3 linked regions of the Ovis aries genome follow. The protein of the gene in region 3 interacts with the protein of the main gene of each other region in a pairwise test. Links are inferred from orthologs where the notes say so. Each region holds a gene or a part of one and is shown on either strand. Other genes may lie near its edges.

Region 1 (6,415 bases), on a different chromosome or scaffold from region 3:
TGTCCCCACTCCGCTCTGCAGCCCCCCCTTCCTTGGGTCTGTGAGATGTTCCTCCACTCGCTTCTCCCTGCCATTTCTCCCTAAAACCCGAACCCCTCTGCCTCCCCAGGCTTCCTACCCCAGCATTCTTTTGCCCACTTTTGCCCTGCAGACCCTGCCCCCATAGATTCCAGGCTGTGGCCTCAATTCTGGTCTCCCACCCAGATGGGCTGGGCTGGGTCAGAGACTCGGGAATGGAAAGCATGGGGGGGTGAACTCAGAGCCTGAGGGAGAGAAGAGTGAGGAGCCTGGGCACACCCTGAGAGAGACACACCCAGGACAGCGAGCCTGATTGCGGAGCAGGCTCCTTGGGCTGGGAAATGAATGGAAAAGAAGGGCCACAAGAAGGAAGGGTGTGTGTTCAGGGGAGGAAGGGTGGCAGCAGGAATGAACAAGAATAGATGAAGACAAGGATACAGAGGTATAAAAAAAGGGAGAGAGACAGGAGTCCACAGAGCAGTGATGGGGGGCTGGCCAAGAAGTCTGGGTTGGCTGCTCCCTACCTGTTTGTGGCGCCTTTCAGGGGACCCCTTGACAAGGCAGCTGCGGCTGAGGCGGAGGTAGCCCCCCAGAACCAAGATCTCCTCGGCAGTCGGGTACCGCTTCTTCCCAGCCCCAGGGACCGCCGTGTCAGCTGTGGCTGGGGCGGCTGGAGTGGCAGGGGCTGCAGGGGGCGCGGACCGCCGGGGGTTGACTGTGAAGGTGTGTCCGCTGCGGCGGGGGGCCCCCACCCCTGGCCCTGCCTTCACCCCGTAGAAGAGCCGGCTCATGAGGGGATCCCCAAGGGACTGGGGGGCAGGTGGGGCTGGGGGTGGGGGAGACAGAGGGGCTGCGGGTGGGGGCCGGAGTTCCCCTGCTTCCTCTTCCTGCCGTCTAGAGGCTCCAGTCCCGGCGTCCTCTGGGGAGAGGGGGGAGGGCGCAGAGCAGCGGTCCTGCAGGGCGCCCAGAGGCCTGCTCTGAGCGCCCGCCTCCTCCTTCTCAGCCTCTGCACCCAAAGGACCCACGTGCTTCTCAACAGACTCTGGAGTGTCTGGTTTCTGGGGCTGAGGCTCTGTGTCCCTGGGTGTCCAGTCTCGGGCCTTCCCAGAGTTCAGGGTCCATTTCCATCCTTCCGGGGGCCGCAGGCCCCTCTCGCCATCCTCTACGGGGCTGGGCCTTTCTTCTGCTCCCTCTGGTCCTGCAGAGCGACTGTCTGGAGCCTCCCTTGTTGGGGTCTCTGACGACGCTGTGGTCCCTTCTGGGTCCATTCTTGGAATCGGCCTCTCGTCTTTTCTCCCCCATTCCTCTGAGCAGTCTTTTCTTTCTTCTCCTGAACTCGGCCTCCACTCTGATGCCTCCAGTTGTCCCAAACTCTGTCCCGGAGACTCTTTGGGGTCAGGCCTCCATTTATGGGAGTCTGTCAGGCCCAGCTTCTGGTTGTCAGACTCTTCGGGGCTCCGTTTACTGTCCACCACCTCTGTTCTCCTGGGGCTTTGTTCTCGGGGCTCTGCCAGTCTCAAACTCCGCTCAGGAGTTTCTCCAGGGCTCAGCCTCCATTTCCGCACCTCTGACAGTCTAGAGCTCCTGTCTCCAGCCTCTCCTGGGCTCTGCCTCCAGTCCCGAGACTCCAAAGGCCTGGGGCTCGACTCTCGAGCGCCCCCTATCCCCAGCCTCTTCTCTCTGGCCTCCCTAGGACTGAGCCGCTCTTCCCTGGACTCTCTTCCCTTGGGGCTGGGATCCCGTGTCTCCCCGGGGCTGGGTCTCCGCCCCCGGGTCTCCAAAGGTCCAGGCCGTTTGTCCGTGAGTAGCTCTTCACTCCGCTGCTGTTGCTGCTGCTGCTGCTGCTGCTGCTGCTGCTGGCGCTCTTGCCGGATAAATCGGTTCTGGTGCACAGGCCCAATGGCCTCCAGGAGGACAGCAGACTCGTCTGGGTTTGGAGGTCCAGCCTCCGTAGTCCCAGGCGCAGGGCTAGGCTCCCCAGGAGACAGACCAAGCTTGGCCCGGCGGCGCTCCAGAAGGCCCCGCTTCCAGGCTGGCATCTGCGACAGCCGCTCCCGCTCTGCCGTCTCACGGCCGCGAACGGCTGCCTCTTCCTGCCGGCGCCGGGCTAGCAGCTGTAGCTTCCAGTCTGGGATGGTGGCCATGGTCGCCTTGGGGAGGGTGGGGGAACGCTGGGGGGCAGAGAACAGGAAGGAGAGGCTCCAGAGGGGCCCAGGAGGTGAGAATGGGGGTGGGGGAGAGGAAGCAGGGGGAGAGGTGGGTCACAGAGGAGCTGAGGGTGAGGACAGTAGGAAAGGGGGCGGCGGAGGGGAGCAGAGAAAGGGGAAAACCTGAGAAAGTGAAGAGGAAACTAAGAGCCAGGTGATGGGGTTGGGGGAGGTGGGTCGAGAGGAACAGTGGAGATTCAGGGCAAAGAGACAGGAGTCAGATTTGTGGGTACAGGTTACTGGGCATCAGAGACAGTCCCCAGGTTGTGAGAAGAGGGAAAAACGAAAGAAGCTGGCACGAGGGAGAAGAGAGAAGAGAGGCTGGGGGTGAGCGGGGCAGGATCCGACCGAGGTTGCCTGACCGCTACCTCAGGAGCGGCGGGAGTGGGAAGCGAGGTCAGCGGGATCCCCGGCGGAGAGGGGGCAGTGGGACCTGAAGGGGTGTCGGGAAGGTGGGAGGGCGGAGAGTGGACAGGTCCAGGGGAGAAGGGGGAATCGGGGGCAGAGGGGCGAGGGAGCTCGGCGGCTGTAGCCGGGCGAGTCTCGGCGCGGGCCCCGGAGGTCCGGGCTCCCCTTCCAGCTCCGCTTGAGCCACGCCTCTCAGACCCCCCAGCCCCCACCCCTCCGCCCTGCACTCCGCCCCGGGGCGGGCCAGGGGAAATACCCTCCCCCGGGGACTTTCGGAACCCGGCGATCGGAGCTGCCAGCTCGTTCCCAGAACCCTGGCGTCCACCCCCCACCAACCCTAACCCGGTCCGGGCCCCGCCGCCGGCCTCCCCCACCGGCGATGCCCCGGGGTCCCGGGCGAGCGAGCGCCTCAGGCGTACGGAGCACCGGCTCCACACCGCTTCTCTCCGGAGCCGGCCAGTCTCGCGCCGGGGTCTCGGCGCTCATGGAACCCCGACCTCGCCAGCCGTCCCCACCCGGCTATGACCGCACTGACGGGCAATCTCGGCACAAAGAGAGGAGAGGCAGCCCGAGGTCCGCGCCCGGGACGGAAGGGAGGGGACACCCCCTCCCCAAGTCTGAAGCCCCTGGGTCAACTCACATGCCGCGGGGCTCCCGGGGGAGGGGGTGCGAAGGAGCCTGACGTCCGGAGAGAGGAGGAGAGAGGAAGAGGAGGAGAGAGGGATAGAGGGAGATCCGGGGCAGGAGGTGGGGGGGGGCGCGGGGGGCGCGGGAGGGGGGAAGGGAGGAGAAGGGGAGGGACGGAGACAGACCCGGGGGCCGAGCGGGGGGCGGCCGCCGCTTTGTCTGAGGACAATGGGGAGAGGGAAGGGGGCGCTGGGCGGAGCCGGGCGCGGGGGCGGAGCCTCGCTCCCCGGGTCCCCCGCGTGGATCCTCGGCCCCGGGACTCCTGTTTTCCCGCCGCGATCCCCGGCACTCCGCGGTCCTTCCCCAGGGCCTCTCACGCGGCTGCCGCCCGGTAACCCTGGACAGCCCAGGTGTCCAGACCCCCACCCCCAGCTAGCCAAGCCGGGGCGGCGGCCCGTGACTCAGACCCCTCGAGGGACTTCGGGAGGAAGCGGCAGCTGCTCGGAGCCGGGCCCGCCCTTCCCATCTCCTGCCGCTCCTCCCCACGCTTTTGCCTTCCCGGGCCAGCCTTTGTTACCGTGGGGGCGCTTGCGGGGCCCGTGGGGAGGGGGCGGCCACAGGAGCAGGGCTGGGAAGACAACGGTTTCGGAAGCTCGCTCCCTTACCCGAACCGTCTCCCCACTCTTCCGTTTCAGCCCGTCCCCCACCCGGGTCTGCAGCAAGGAAATTGGGAGATTTGGAGGAAGGGGGACCGGGTGCTCCGGGAAGGGGGTGGAGGGCTGGGTGCGCGGGGAGTGGCCGCCGCCCAGCGGTCACCAGAAGGCGCGGCCGATGCCCAGACTCCAATGTAACTCGCCTTTCCCAGAGCCAGCCCTGCAGCTTTGAGAGACACTGACAGACTGCATTCTACACGTAGAAAAACCAGACTGAATTTTATTTTCCTGTAGCGTGAGTTCCTCGGGAAAGCAGGGAGCCTCTAGTCACCTTAGCTAAGAACGGGAGAAACCGCTCAACTAGGTTCAGGAGGATGGAGCCTAGGGTCGGGGCCTAGGGAGCTGAAAAGGCCAGACAGTGGGCCTCGGTCCAGCCCCTGGGAGGGAGCTAGACGTGGAGAAAGGATCCCTGAGGCACAGAGGGTAGTAACAGGGCTAAGGGAGTGGTCAAGCCAGACTCTTCTCTTGGTGAGGAAATTGTTAACGGAGGGTCAAGCCCTGAACTGTGAGAAGAAGTTCCCAGCCACTCCTTCCTGGCTGGTGAGAAGTGGCCCTTGGAGTCCAATGGCTGAAATTCAGTATGGAGCTGGAACCAAGGAGTGGAGGCTCAAGCAAGGAAAGGGACCACTCCTTCAGTCCATGGATTTGGGCCTCTGGTCTGAAGCAGCCAAGGCCTAGATGTTAAGGGAATTTGGGATAGGAGGGAGAGAGGAAGTACAGGGCTTGCAACCAGGGTTAACCCCTTACTCGGCCTCCCCATCCTGGGGCCGGGAGAGCAGGTGGAGTTTTCTTTGTAGCTGGGCCCGGAGATAGCGGAGATCATGCTGGTCCAGTCCGTGAGCCAGGCCCAGGTAGAGGGTAAGGAGGAGAGCAAGGAGCAGGCGGTCAGTGCCCAGGGTGGGTACCACCCATAGCACTGTCAGCAGCTCCACGCACACTGGATGGCGCAGGTGGGAGAAGAGTCTCAGAGCCCGGGGCGACTTCAGGGCCAGAGGCTCGCCCAGCCCCAGCACATGGTAGTACACCTAGCAGAGGGAGAATGGCTTAGGAATGGAGCCAAGCCCTTGTCACAACTTAACTGCCTCTTTCCTCCCGTCCTGGGCACCCTCCTTCTATGACAGGCTCAGGAACCACCCTCCTGAGACTGGAGGTCCCTGACCCTCATCTCTGGCCCATGAACCTTCCCAGGCCCAAGAAGCCCATGATTCCTAGCCTTTGAGGGAGGGCTGGGGGGAGACTGTCTTATAAGAAAGGGAGGTGAAGGGCTCAAAAACAAGAGGCAGGTGGAAGACAATGGGAGGCACAGGGACATCCTTGGAGGGGAAAGAGGTATTCTAGAAAGGATCAGATGTCTTGGGTAGGGATCTGGGAGCCTCACCTGTTTCAGGCCCATGAGCTCTGCGTAGTCGAAGACGAGAAGGATGCTGAAGATGAGGAGCCAGGAAATGACGTGGAGGACAAAGCAGAGGAGGGGCACCCAAGTGGCCCATGGCTCAGCCCGAGCCTCCCACAACACAGGACCCCTGGGCACAGGCTCCCAGTACCGCATCACCAGCTGAGGAAGGAAGAGGAACTGGGTTTCCCAGCAGCCCACCCTTGACAGACCCAGACCCAGGGGCTGCCTCCAGTCCAGGCTGGCCAGCTGTTCCCCCCACCTCTATCATGAGCATGTTCACCATGTGGAGGGTGCTGGGTGGGGTCCTAAGGATGTAAGAATGACTTGTCTCCACTCTGAGGACTTAGAGAATGGATGAGGGTGACCACATAGGCACACAAAATAGCCTATGCCAAGCACCCACTGAGGAGACAGGTGAGTACTAACCGGGAAGCTTTCTCTTGAGATCTAGGGAAGTGCTTTTGAAGAAAGGATAAGACTGAAGAGGTGTTACCAAGGCACTCTCAAGCGGGACAACAGGAACGAAGTTGCAAAGGTGAGAATGCACACATCATGCGTAGGGGATGACAAGCAGTACATACTTCTTGATAAAAAGGAGAAATGTGTGCTGTGAAATAACGGGAGCTGAGACTAGTCCTGAACACCCTCAGTTCTCCTCCTAAACCCACACTTTATCCGAAGCCTGAGGTTCTTGCAGCTCCAATCAATGACATCCTTCACACATGCTGTTTCCCTTGAGGACTCAGCTGCCAGGGCTTCATACCTGCAAGGCCAGGGCAGTGCATGCCACGTACAGTGACCTCTGAAGGACCCCAAAGTACCGGGACATCCATTCCTTCACGGTCTCAGTTGCCATGAGGCTGTGCTGCCCCACAAACAGTAACAGGAGCCCCAGATCCCAAACCAGCGGGACAAGGATGCTTTGGTCCTGCAGGGCAGCCAGCCATCCCTGGCGGGCATCTAGCGGGAGTTGGAAAAAGGTACAAAAGATCAAGAAGACTGTGGGAAACACTCTCTACCTTCACCTCCTCTTGGGGACCCCAGGC
Region 2 (5,771 bases), on a different chromosome or scaffold from region 3:
GAAGGCATCTGGGCTCAGGCCCACCAAGAGGTTCCGCGCCAGGAAAGACAATGACTCACAGCTCCCAGACCCATATTTGCCCACTTAGCATATCCTATCCACAGCCTCTGTTCCCGCCATCTGACTCCTTCAGCTGTTATTCAAAGTGCAATGAAATGGGGGAAGGGGTGGGGCCAATGGAAAAAGTCCTTGGACGAGTTCCAGGGGCTGGTGTCACACTGTCCCTCCTGGAAAAATCTGCTCCTCACCCACCTACCCCTAACACAGAGAGATCCCCATTCAAGGAGGCCTGCCTGACCACCCAGGACCCCCCACCCCAAGAGCTAAGAGCAGGGGGCAGTCGCTGCTTGAGGTAGAACTGGGGAACCCTATGTCTAGCATGTCCTTTCCTCCACCAGTCCACTGAGTTGGGGGTTAGGGCACCCCCTCAGAGCTGCCACCCAGGGCTGAGAAGATACTAAAGGGAAAGGGCATGGAGGAAGGGAGAGGAGCAGAGAGGGACTGAGAGCCTGGCTGGGAAACAGGGGCCTCTGGGGCTCCTGGAAAAATGCAGGGGACAGGGAAGCCAAACACTGAGATTGGCTCCCCTGAGGATGGGGGTGGGGGGGTGGGAGGCAGGGGTGGTTTGCTACGGGCCCCTACCTTCCCCATGCCTTCACAGGACGGAGGTGGGAATCAAGGGCCAGAAGGGTGTCCAATCCCGCAGCCCCATTTCCAGGCTGTGCCCACTTCAGGGTCACCCTGCCCAACCTTAGAGGGGCAAGGGGAACCCAAAGTTTTGATGATGCCTCCAACTCTGTTGGGCCCCCTTCAAAGTGCTATCTATTTACTTCTCAGATTGTAAGGAATTCAGGTCTGAGAATGCAGGAAAGAGGGGGCGAGACTTCGTAACACCCATCAGATGGCAGGGGGGAGGGAACCAGGCCCCTCCAGAGAGTGCCACCCAGAGGATGGGGGTCACGCCAGCCTCAGAGGAGCGAGGACGAGGAAAGCAAAGGATGCTGCTGCTGCTGCTAAGTCACTTCAGTCGTGTCCGACTCTGTGTGACCCCATAGATGGCAGCCCACCAGGCTCCCCCGTCCCTGGGATTCCCCAGGCAAGAACACTGGAGTGGGTTGCCATTTCCTTCTCCAATGCATGAAAGTGAAAAGTGAAAGTGAAGTTGCTCAGTCGTGTCCAGCTCTTAGCGACCCCATGGACTGCAGCCTACCAGGCTGCTCCGCCCATGGGATTTTCCAGGCAAGAACACTGGAGTGGGTTGCCATTTCCTTCTCCAATGCATGAAAGTGAAAAGTGAAAGTGAAGTTGCTCAGTCGTGTCCAGCTCTTAGCGACCCCATGGACTGCAGCCTACCAGGCTGCTCCGCCCATGGGATTTTCCAGGCAAGAGTGCTGGAGTGGGGTGCCATTGCCTTCTCCGAGCAAAGAATGAGGAGGGTTTAAATAACGGTTCATATAATAAAAATACCTAGCAATCTAATAAGCCTATTTTTTCTGCTAATTTTTTTCTTTTTTAAATAATTCCAGAGGCTGGGGGTGTGGGAAGGGTGGCAGCAAGCAGGGTATGTACAAGAGGAGGCGTTTAAATTAAAACACAAATAATAATTAAGACGCACAAACTGAAGGACCAAGGCAAAAGGTACAGAAGAGGCCTGCAGTGGGCCCCTGTTTCCACGAGGACGTGCTTCCAGCAGCGGGGTTAGGGCTTCCTCTTGGAGCAGATCAGCCTGCGTTTGGAGTGGTAGAAATCTGGGGGGAGAGAACAGATGTCAGCCAGGTCAGGAGGAAGAGGGCCCAGCAGAGCCACCTGCGCAGTGCAACCTGCAGAGGGGCCAGGGACCCCTCCCCAGGGCCCGAGAGACACATTGCCAAGTATAGGGAAGAACTCTGGAAACTTCTAGCCTCTCTCCCGGAGGGCTACATACATACAGGACATCCCCCCACGCTTCACAGACGTGATCAATAACAGACTTTACATGCATGGGCCTGCTTTAAGCCAAGCTGCCCAAATGCAGTGGTCGCTAACCCTAGGCGGCTGTTTAAATTAACTAGCATTAGACTAATAGAAAAATTTAGTTCCTCATGGCAAACACTCAGCAGTGATATGTGGCCAGCGGTACTGGGCATCTGCTTCTTTGCAGAGCCTGATATATCAGAGAGCGTTCTGCATGATGTCTGAGCCATATAAAGGTTAGTTATTATTATTATCATTATTGTTAGTTTTGACCCAGCTGCAAATGTGCTGTGGGATTCTTGGCTGCACTGCTCCAAGCTTCCATTTCCTCACCTATAAAATGAGGATAACGCTGGTACGATGCTCAGAGGATTAAATGAAATGTTTCCGGAAAGACCTTGGTGGGGACTTCCCTGGTGGTCCAGTGGCTAAGACTCCTTGCGCTCAACAGAGGTGGCCTGGGTTCTGTCCTTGCTCAGGGAATTAAGATCCCACAAGCCGTACAGCCAAAATAATAACAGTAATACATTTGTAAAGTAAAAAATAAAAAGACGTTGGCTGAAGGCCTGGCATAGTGTTCAACTGCCAGCCTCACTTATTCCATTTCCCTCAAGCACCTACTATGTGTCACACACCATCCAAGGTGCTGAGGACTCAATTATGAACAAGAGAGATACAGATTTCTTTCTTGTGGAGATGATAGGATTCTATTTGGGAAGATGGACTATATCAAAATATGGAAGTAGCTGTTGATAGTTTAAAAAGTGCCAAAAAGAGAAAAATAGGCTAGGAAGTGCAGGTGAAGGTGTGTATGTATGAAGGGGAAGGCGAGTTAGGTTTGGATAAGGCAGCCAGGAAATTATCATTCATTTACTCTCCATGGTAAATTCAGTGTGGGACCTAAGGCAAACCATTCTACCTCTCAGAGTCCTGTTCCTTTGCCTGTAAAAGGATGCCAAGAATGTCCTATGATATTAGATCACTATAAGGACTAAAAGAAATCTAGACACTTATCAAAGGTCCTGGCACATAGTCAATGTTCCAAATAAATGTCAGCTAATTGGTCTTGGTAGTAGACTTGCTGTGTGACCTCAGGCAAGCCACTTCCCCTCTCTGGGCCTGTTTCCCACCCCTCAGAGCGATGAGTAAGCTGGGCCAGACAGGTCAGCCCTGGCACAGTGAGTTCTGGGAGTCCTAATCCCTTGCCGCCACCTCTGCTCCCGTCCTCACCTGTCATGCTGGTCTGGCGCCGTTTCCGGCCCTGGGAGGGACCAGGCCCACCAGGGGTCCCCTCGGGCCGCTCAGGGGAGCGAGTCACGAGGGTGCAGGACAGCGACAGGTCCAAGTGGTCCTCCTGAGACGTGCCCTGCAGCAGGGCGGATGAGGGGCTCGGCCGCTTGCCCCCTCCCACATCGTCTCGGGGCCCCACGGGCAGGTAGAGCTTGGGCAGGCCGAGGCCCCTCACACGCTCCCAGGCAAAGTCCCCCTCCAGGGGCGTCTCGGTGACAAAGTCGAAGTTCCATCGCTCTCGGGCCTCCTGCACGCAGCTGGCCATGAGGGCGTCGCAGTCCTGGCGCAGCTGCTCGCTGTCCACTGGACCAAAGAGGCAGCGGCAGGCCTTGCTGCTGCGGGGGATCTGATGCGCGTCCCTGGACGGCTCAGACATGGCACCTGTGGCTGGAACACAAGGAAGACCCGGGGCACGTGAGACACTCAGGAAGTCGGACGCTCCCTCTCTGGGCCATGCCACTGCGTAACCTCAGGCGCAGTCTCCTTACTAGAAAGTGAGGTGAGAGGGGCTCTCGGGTTCCTCCCACAGGCTCTCCCAACCTCCACCCACAGAAAGGGTGTGAGGGGCAGAGTCAGTCAGCCTGACACCCCCAGGTCACTGGGGGAGTGGGCAGCTGAAGGGCAAGTTTATGTCAACAAAGGCAAGTTTATTGCAATAGCAGGGATCAGGGTCCTGTTTACCACTGGGTGTTATCAGCTAAAATCAATTTGTTTTTCCCACTGAGGTGTCCCTCATGGGTGTGAATGCCCCCAGGTATGTGTGAATTGTCAGAGTCCAGCAGTTTCCTAACTCCAGGCCTGGCCGGGGAGGTCAATTCCCAAGAAAATGGATGCCTCCTCTCAAATCCCTCCATCTAGATGCTCATGTGGAGTAATCCTGCTCAGTGACTTAAAACTACTCTGGATTTTGGGGTTAAAAGCACCTGGGTTCTAGTCCTCGCTCTGCCACTTCCTACCTCAACTTTCAAAGAGTCACTTCAAGTCCCCCGGCCTCAGTTTCCTCATCTGTAAAATGGGACTGCATACATGTCTAAAGAGTGGGGCTGTAGACGCAGGCTCAAGGAAATGATTGGCGGGCCCCGCCAGGCAAGGCAGATGGAGCAGAGTTCAACGGCTGTATCTTGGTGGTTCAAGGTGAGGGCTTTGGAACCAGGCCACTTGGGTTGGAATCCAGGCTCTGCTGGGCAACCTTCGACAAGTGGCTTAACTTCTCTGGGTTCTGTTTTCCTCCTGTATAAGATGGAGATTTCCATGTGTAGAGTTGTCTCTTGTGTATGTTGGACGAGGGTGTTTGCTGTAACTAGTGCGTTCCCTTGGCAAAACTCCATTTGCCCTGCTTCACTTTGTACTCCAAGGCTAAACTTGCCTGTAACTCCAGGTACCTCCTGAGTTCCTACTTTTACATTCCAGTCGCCTATGATGAAAGGGACATCTATTTCTGGTGTCATTTCTAGAAGGAGATAACAACAGCGACTGTCTCAGAGGCCAGATGTGAGAATTCGCTAAGCGGTTGTAGATAACGCCCTCTGAGCCGTACCAAGTACAGAGAAAGTGTTTGGAGAATATTATTTCTCTCTGCCTTTAGTTCTGGCTGACTCCTCCCCATCACTCCACCTGGGCCACCGCCTCCTTCAGACAGCAGCTGACAGGTGTTGTGGGCTGAGGGCCTTTCCCAAGGATGTCATCAGGCAGGCAGCCTGCGGGTAAGGAGGAGCCAGGCAGGGCAGGGCAGAGCAATGATTTCTCCCAGGCTGAGCCACATCCTGCCAGGTACATCAGGTGACCTGAAGTCTAGACAACCTGGAAGCCCCTGCCCCATTCTGCCTGCATCCAAGGAACCCGTTTTGCAGGCAAAGAAAATTAAAGGCACCGGTCTACCTGGCTCCTCTCCTCCCACTAAAGTGGGAGAGGGAAAACTAAAGGAGAGGGAACACTGAAGGTGAGCCTGCCCATGAGGGGGTGCTGGCACCTCCCTGCCCGGCTCTGGCTTGACTCCAGGTCTGAGCACCTGCATGACTTTAACAGGGACTGGGTTTTCCTGGGGACACGTCCTGATTTGCAGGCTCTGAAGGTGAAAGCCCTGCTGAGGGTCCTCCTGGGGCAAGCAGCCCTGGACCCACACCATACCTACCTGTCCCCACTCCACCTCTCACAGTGAGTGAAGCCCACAGCTCCAAGTCTCAGCACACAGGGGAGGGGAGGGCACTAGATGACCTCTGACCGAGTTTAAAGGGCAGGAGTTTTAAGACTTGCCCTGAACCCACACGGTTAAAAAGATCAATAGCGTCTACTCAAGCTGCCACATACCACATAGAGAGAGGGGTTACACAGCACAGTGGACAAAGCCCATAAATAACCTTTGCTCACTCTCTTCAGGGATAAGGACTGAGACTTATTTACACATTTTATGAGCCAAGGGCTGTTGTAAAAAAGTTTATGGATATTAATTTTCAGAAGAAATGGCTATATCAGCTCTTTTACGGAAGAGGTAACCAAGGCTCAGAGAAATTAAGTAAGTTTCCCAAGGT
Region 3 (6,133 bases):
GAGTGCTGCTTAATGGTATTTCACTGCTCACTCTTACATGTCCTTTTCAACATGCACCAGCTTCTTTTATCTCCTTTCCTCTTCTCTCTCTCTTTTACTTTTTTTTCTCTTAATCTTACTTACTTGTAACATCTAAAGAGGCTATCGAGACCAAAAAAAAAAAAACAAAAAAACAAAAAACATTGGAGATACCCGTATAACATATTTCTGCATATTTTCCTTTTTTCACTGGGCCTTTCAATGCAGTGGTGTCAGCTCAGTAAGTAGATAGACCTGACTTTGGAGTCATATTTGCAGTCAGTATTGATCAATTGAGTCACTTGATTCCTGGATGCCTTATATAATCTTGGATAATAGCCATTCTATTACAGACATTATTAGAAACTAAGAGCTCTCAAAGGACCACTGTAGGCTTGAGAACTGAGGTCTAATTATCGTCCTGTTTGTTCATTAGTTGATCCATGAACAAAGGAGTTATGCTACAGCCAGGAGCTTGGGTGGGATGATGGAAGTTGGGAGCTCTTAACTGCCAACCAGGAAATAGGGAATTACAATGGGAACTTACATTTGACAAAGTGAAAGTGAAAGTGAAGTCGCTCAGTCATGTTCGACTCTTTGTGACCCCCATGGACAGTAGCCTGCACCAGGCTCTTCCGTCCATTGGAATTTCTAGGCAAGAGTACTGGAGTGGGTTGCCATTTCCTTCTCCAGGGAATCTTCCCGACCTGAATCTTCTCAGATGCTTTACAGTCTGAGCCACCAGGGAGTACCTACCATAGACGACCCCATAGACGGCAGCCCACCAGGCTCCCCCGTCCCTGGAATTCTCCAGGCAAGAGTACTGGAGTGAGTTGCCATTTCCTTCTCCAATGCATGAAAGTGAAAAGTGAAAGTGAAGTCATTCAGTCGTGTCTGACTCTTCGCGACCCCATGGACTGCAGCCTTCCAGGCTCCTCCGTCCAGGGGTTTTCCAGACAAGAGTACTGCAGTGGGATGCCAGTGCCTTCTCCGAATGATTTTTATTAGACTTCCCTGGTGGCTCAGACGGTAAAGCGTCTGTCTACAACGCAGGAGACCTGGGTTTGATCCCTGGGTCAGGAAGATTCCCTGGAGAAGGAAATGGCAATCCACTCCAGTACTCTTGCCTAGAAATTCCAATGGACGGAAGAGCCTGGTGCAGGCTACTGTCCATGGGGTCGCAAAGAGTCAGACACGACTGAGCGACTTCACTTTCACTTTTCGCTTTCACAGATGGGGAAATTGACGTACTGAGATTCTAAGTAGCTAGCTCTAGGCCACACAGTATGTAGTGCATATTCAGTCAATTATGGGATACTCTACTGCTTTTGGGCTTTCCAGGTGGCAAAGAATCCATCTGCTAATGCAGGAGATGCAGGTTTGATCCCTCCATCAGGAAAATCCCCTGGAGGAGGAAATACCATTCTAGTATTCTTGTTTGGAAAATCCCATGGACAGAGGAACTTGGTAGGCTACAGTTTATGGGGTCATAAAGAGTTGGACGCAACTAAGCAACTGAACACACACACACATTGCCCTTTTCTACCATATTTCTTCCCCTAATTTAGCAATCTAGGATTGTGAATTATATACCAGGGTTTAATAGAGGAGGATCCAAAAGAAAAGTATTTAACAGCAGTACTTTAAGTATTTAACAGCAGTACTTCCTGTTTTACTCCTTTTCTTCATGATACTATGTGATTTAGATGCAGAAAATTTTGAAGAGGGAAAAGAAATTATTTTTAGAAATCTCATCTTTTCCATAGTAAATAATGACTAATCTGAGACTCTCAGGGTTGCGAGGAAGCTCTGTTAGTGTTCCCAGATTTGAAGCCATAATCTCTTCTCTTCATCTTGTTAGCCAGCTCTGCATCTGGCTTGACTGAGATGTACAGGGCTTAAAAAAGGGGTATGTGAGGCAAGATGTGGGAGGCTTGTTAATGTTTTGATATGGGGTGTCTCCAAATATGGAGACATCATGTCTAACACTGCTGTCTCTGAGTGGAGATTTCAGCAGAGGCCAACTCCTTCCTTGCAAGCATCACCCATAGATTTAGCTGGAATCAAACATATTCATATATATATATTATACACCATCAATGAAATCATTTGTTTGGAGATGGGTAGGTGCCATGCCCTTGCTGTGAACCTGCAGGGGAGTCATTGGGTATTTTTCTTAAGACTTGACAAGGGCAGGGCAGCAGAAACATATCTTGGAACTCAGGGTTTTTCAGTCTCAACTTCTGATATTTCTGACCTTTGCTACTCTTGAATATCAGTGGGCAACATTGTTTATTTTACTTCCTTTTCTTTCCTTTCTTCCTCTCTCCTTTTTTTTTCTTTCGAAGACCTGCTCTCCTCTTTTCTGTAACCCTCACCATCTGCACTCTTCCCGTAGTAACTGCAGTATGTTTTAGTATTGCACTATACTCCCTCACTCTCAGTGATTCTCACCCAGCCCTCTGAACTGCATTCCCAGAACTTCATGTACAGACTGTGCCTGGAAGCTCAGGCTCTACATCCGTTCTGCGACGGCTCTGCGATTTACGTCCTTTGATTTACGTCACTTTGGGGGAGGAGCTTTCCTAGCGTCTCTTGTTCTCTTCTTCGACGACGACTCGACTCGCACTGTGGACTCGGAGGAGCACGGTGGCGTCGGCTTTGCCGGCTGATGTGAGTGATTTTTTTTTTTTGGTTGGAAGTGCTAGAGGAGGGTCAGGTACAAGTTAGTTGGGTGGTTTCTAATTAGCGAGGAGATGCTGCCGTTAGGTTACCACTTAAAAATATTTATTTTAATCAGAGGATCATTACCTTACAATATTATGATGGCCTCTGCCAGACATTAACATGAATCGGCCATAGGCAAATACTTTTTAAAGTGGTTCTAAGGCAGTGATTTTGAACTATGGAACTGACTCTTGGGTGAAGGAAGGTGGGCAAAAGGCAGGGTTTGGGGACATGGATGAAGTATGGACAGTGGTGTGGGGCCACCGAAAGTGGGAGATACTTATTGTAGTTCGAATGTGAAGGACTTAAAATTCGGTTGAAGCTGCATGGTTAGTGACTGTTGGGGGCAGGGAGCTGCATGGCTCGTGACCGTTGGGGGCAGGGAGCTGCATGGCTCGTGACCGTTGGGGGCAGGGAGCTGAGGCGCTAGCTGGGTCTGCAGAGAGCGGGAAAAAGGACGGTCAGTGATTGGATGCTTTGAAGGTATGAGCGCCAAGAGTGGGAGATTTTGAACCAATTAGAGGAGGCAACAAGAAGATAGACCAATCACAGGGTAACCCAAGCCCGGGGCGGAGGGGGAGGGCGGTTTTTGTGTCACGGGGCAGATTGTCCGAAGACTCGAGGTAAAAATATTCTCAGCCGAGTTCACGTCGCAGGAGCTTGACCCTGGCCTTCGTTAACTGCTATTTCTGGGTTTAAAAACTTCCTCAGCATTTTTTCTTTTGGAATAGAACTGAGAGGAAAAATTTGAAAAGAAATTTATTGCGACGCTGGAGAATAAAGGACAGAATATTAAAATATTTTCTTATTTCATAGGCCTGAGCCAGAGATTCCAAAATGGACAGCAATGATTTTCGTTTCATGGACTTTAAAGGTATCTAGCTTTACACTAGAAAATGTAAAAATAGTAAAGAAAATGTTTAACTATTTGCTGCCTTATCTAAGATCATCTGAATATATTTTGTTTCCTAATTTTGTCTCTTCAGAGTATTCGTAGCTCCAAGTTTCCTCATTTACGTATTGGAAAACAATGTTAATGTTTAAGACACTGGAATCCTTTTATAAACTAGTGTAGGGAAATAGAATTTCACAATTTATAGCTTGTTTTCTCGGGATTGTTGTGCGTGCATAGTAACACTGGTTTAATCTGAAATAGAAATCTGTGTTAAAAGGACATTTAAAAAATTACTGCTAGATCCTGAAGTACCTGTCCATAATCATCAGTGAAAAATAAATTATATCTTGTGTAGCATTAGGTTTAAGTGCATTTTATTGTATCTTAATTCTTTTGAAAATTGGTACTCAATGGATGATATTTGTGGGAATTCTTAGTTAAAAAAGCAGTTCAATTGACTAGAAAACCAGATTCCGCAACCATGCCAGGTATGGGAGAGTTTACCGTATTTCTTTTTTGCGGGGACATGATTAGACCTATGGTATATTTGCATTCATGTTCATATAATAATGAAATACGTCATAACCAGATTGGCTACAAATCTGTGATTTAAAAAAGTTTAGGTCAGTGTTTTGTTAATGCTTATCATTTTACAACAACAACAAAGCCCACTACCACTTAACCTTAAGTTTTAATTTAGGATATGCTATTTTAGGGCTTCGCTTGTGGCTCAGCTGGTAAAGAATCCGCCGGCAACTTGGGAGAACTTGGTTCGATCCCTGGGTTGGGAAGATCCCCTGGAGACAGGAATGGCTATCCACTCCAGTGTTCTGGCCTGGAGAATTCCATGGACTGTATAGTCCATGGGGTCACAAAAAGTTGGACAGGACTGAGTGACTTTCACTTTCATCTTAAGGGTTAAAAACATTGAATAGGGATTATTACTTTTAAATATATTGTATTTGAGACCTGGTATTTACATAAATATTTGAAGCACACAGAAAAGTTTAAGAATATAGTGAAGACCTGTAAAACTACCACTAAGTTTTGTTGAATCTTCATATTTTGCCACATACTTCTAAAAGATTGTGCTTAGTTGCTCAGTTTTGTCTGACTCTTTGCGACCCCATGAACTGTAGCCTGCCAGGCTCCTCTGTCCATGGGAATTATCTGGGCAAGAATATTGGAGTGGGTTGTGATACCCTCTTCTAGGGGATCTTCCCAACCTACGGATTGAACCCAGGTCTCCTGCCTTGCAGGTGGATTCTTTACCATCTGAGCCCCCAAGGACGCTCTCTAAAAGATTAAGGTGCCTTTTTTTCATCTTTGAAATATTACATAAATTGCATCATTTTATATGATTTTTTTTCCTGCAAGTTGTATTTTTTTTTTTTGCTCTGTATTATATTTTGGATATTTACCCATACAGATATTTTAGTTCTAGTTCATTTATTTACACTGCTTATTAGTATTATTACACTGACTATAAGTGTACCACAATTTATTTATCTAATCTCAACAGCATTACAACATTGTGTTTTGAAGAGTTTATCAGGAGCTTTCAAACATTTTTGACTACCACCAACACCTATGGAAAGGAAATATATTTTCCATCACATCTTGGTATATACACACTGTATCAAAAGTTTAATGAAATCATTTTACCCTTATTACATACAGTGCATGTGTATGTAATATTTTCTATTCTATGCTTTTTGAATGATATTTTCTATTCTATGCTTTCTCTTTTAAAAATGTAAATGTTGGTTATGACTCATTAAATTAATTTATTTCTTGAACACTAGTGGATGAAGCTCTAGGGCAGTGCTGTACAATTGAAACATAGTGCAAATGTAAAGAATTTTGTATTTTTTGTACCACATTAAAAAAGCTTAAACAGATGAAATCAATTTTAACAATATAAATTATTTAGCTCAGTATATCCAAAATGCTATCATTTCAACATGTAATCAATATAAAAATTATTAATGAAATAGTTTACATTCTTTTTCTTTTCTATTCAAAATCATTGAAGTCTAGTATGTATTTTATACTTAAAGCATGTCTCATTTTGGACTTGCCACATTTCAAGTGCTCATATGGCTAGTGGCTACCCTGTAGTGGCAGTGCTACTCTGGATTGTAATTAAGAACTTGAACTGCTGGGTGAAATGCTGTAAGCATCTTTAACTTAACAAATATTGCTGAATCGTTGTCAAAAGTAGGTTGAACAATTTATACTGCCTCTTCCTTTCTCTTTCCCTATTGTTCTTTCTAATATTTGCTTTTGTCAGACTTAAAAAATTGTGCATGATTGAAGGGTGGTGTTGTTTTTAAGTAACATTTTATTTTAGGACAGTTTTAGATTTACAGAGTAGTTACAGAGAGAGTATAGAGAGTTCTTAGATACTCCTCAGCCAGTTCCATTTGCTCTAATGTTTTACATTGCTCTAATGTATTACATGGATGTTTTAATTTGCATATCTGTTAAGTA

Evidence for each region.
Region 1: the proteins of TEX11 (region 3) and PPP1R18 interact in binary tests that used the Homo sapiens proteins (3 or more experiments, as listed by UniProt). The two-hybrid records come from large-scale screens. The link is inferred for Ovis aries from reciprocal best matches to the Homo sapiens genes TEX11 and PPP1R18.
Region 2: the proteins of TEX11 (region 3) and CDKN1A interact in binary tests that used the Homo sapiens proteins (3 or more experiments, as listed by UniProt). The link is inferred for Ovis aries from reciprocal best matches to the Homo sapiens genes TEX11 and CDKN1A.

The regions. Positions count from the first base shown.
Region 1 is NC_056073.1:27,437,355-27,443,769, reverse strand, and holds the start of PPP1R18 (phostensin), read right to left. Parts: upstream 3,999-6,415; 5' UTR 3,926-3,998; exon of another isoform or gene 3,274-3,925; intron 2,190-3,273; 5' UTR 2,163-2,189; coding exon 543-2,162; intron 1-542. Other genes in the region: NRM (nurim), read right to left, coding at 4,717-4,998, 5,352-5,528, 6,133-6,329.
Region 2 is NC_056073.1:10,678,924-10,684,694, reverse strand, and holds CDKN1A (cyclin-dependent kinase inhibitor 1), read right to left. Parts: upstream 3,620-5,771; coding exon 3,184-3,619; coding exon of another isoform or gene 2,987-3,183; exon of another isoform or gene 1,749-2,986; coding exon 1,699-1,748; downstream 1-1,698. UniProt on the Homo sapiens protein: Plays an important role in controlling cell cycle progression and DNA damage-induced G2 arrest. Involved in p53/TP53 mediated inhibition of cellular proliferation in response to DNA damage.
Region 3 is NC_056080.1:63,638,170-63,644,302, reverse strand, and holds the start of TEX11 (testis-expressed protein 11), read left to right. Parts: upstream 1-2,627; 5' UTR 2,628-2,691; intron 2,692-3,561; 5' UTR 3,562-3,582; coding exon 3,583-3,619; intron 3,620-6,133. UniProt on the Homo sapiens protein: Regulator of crossing-over during meiosis. Involved in initiation and/or maintenance of chromosome synapsis and formation of crossovers.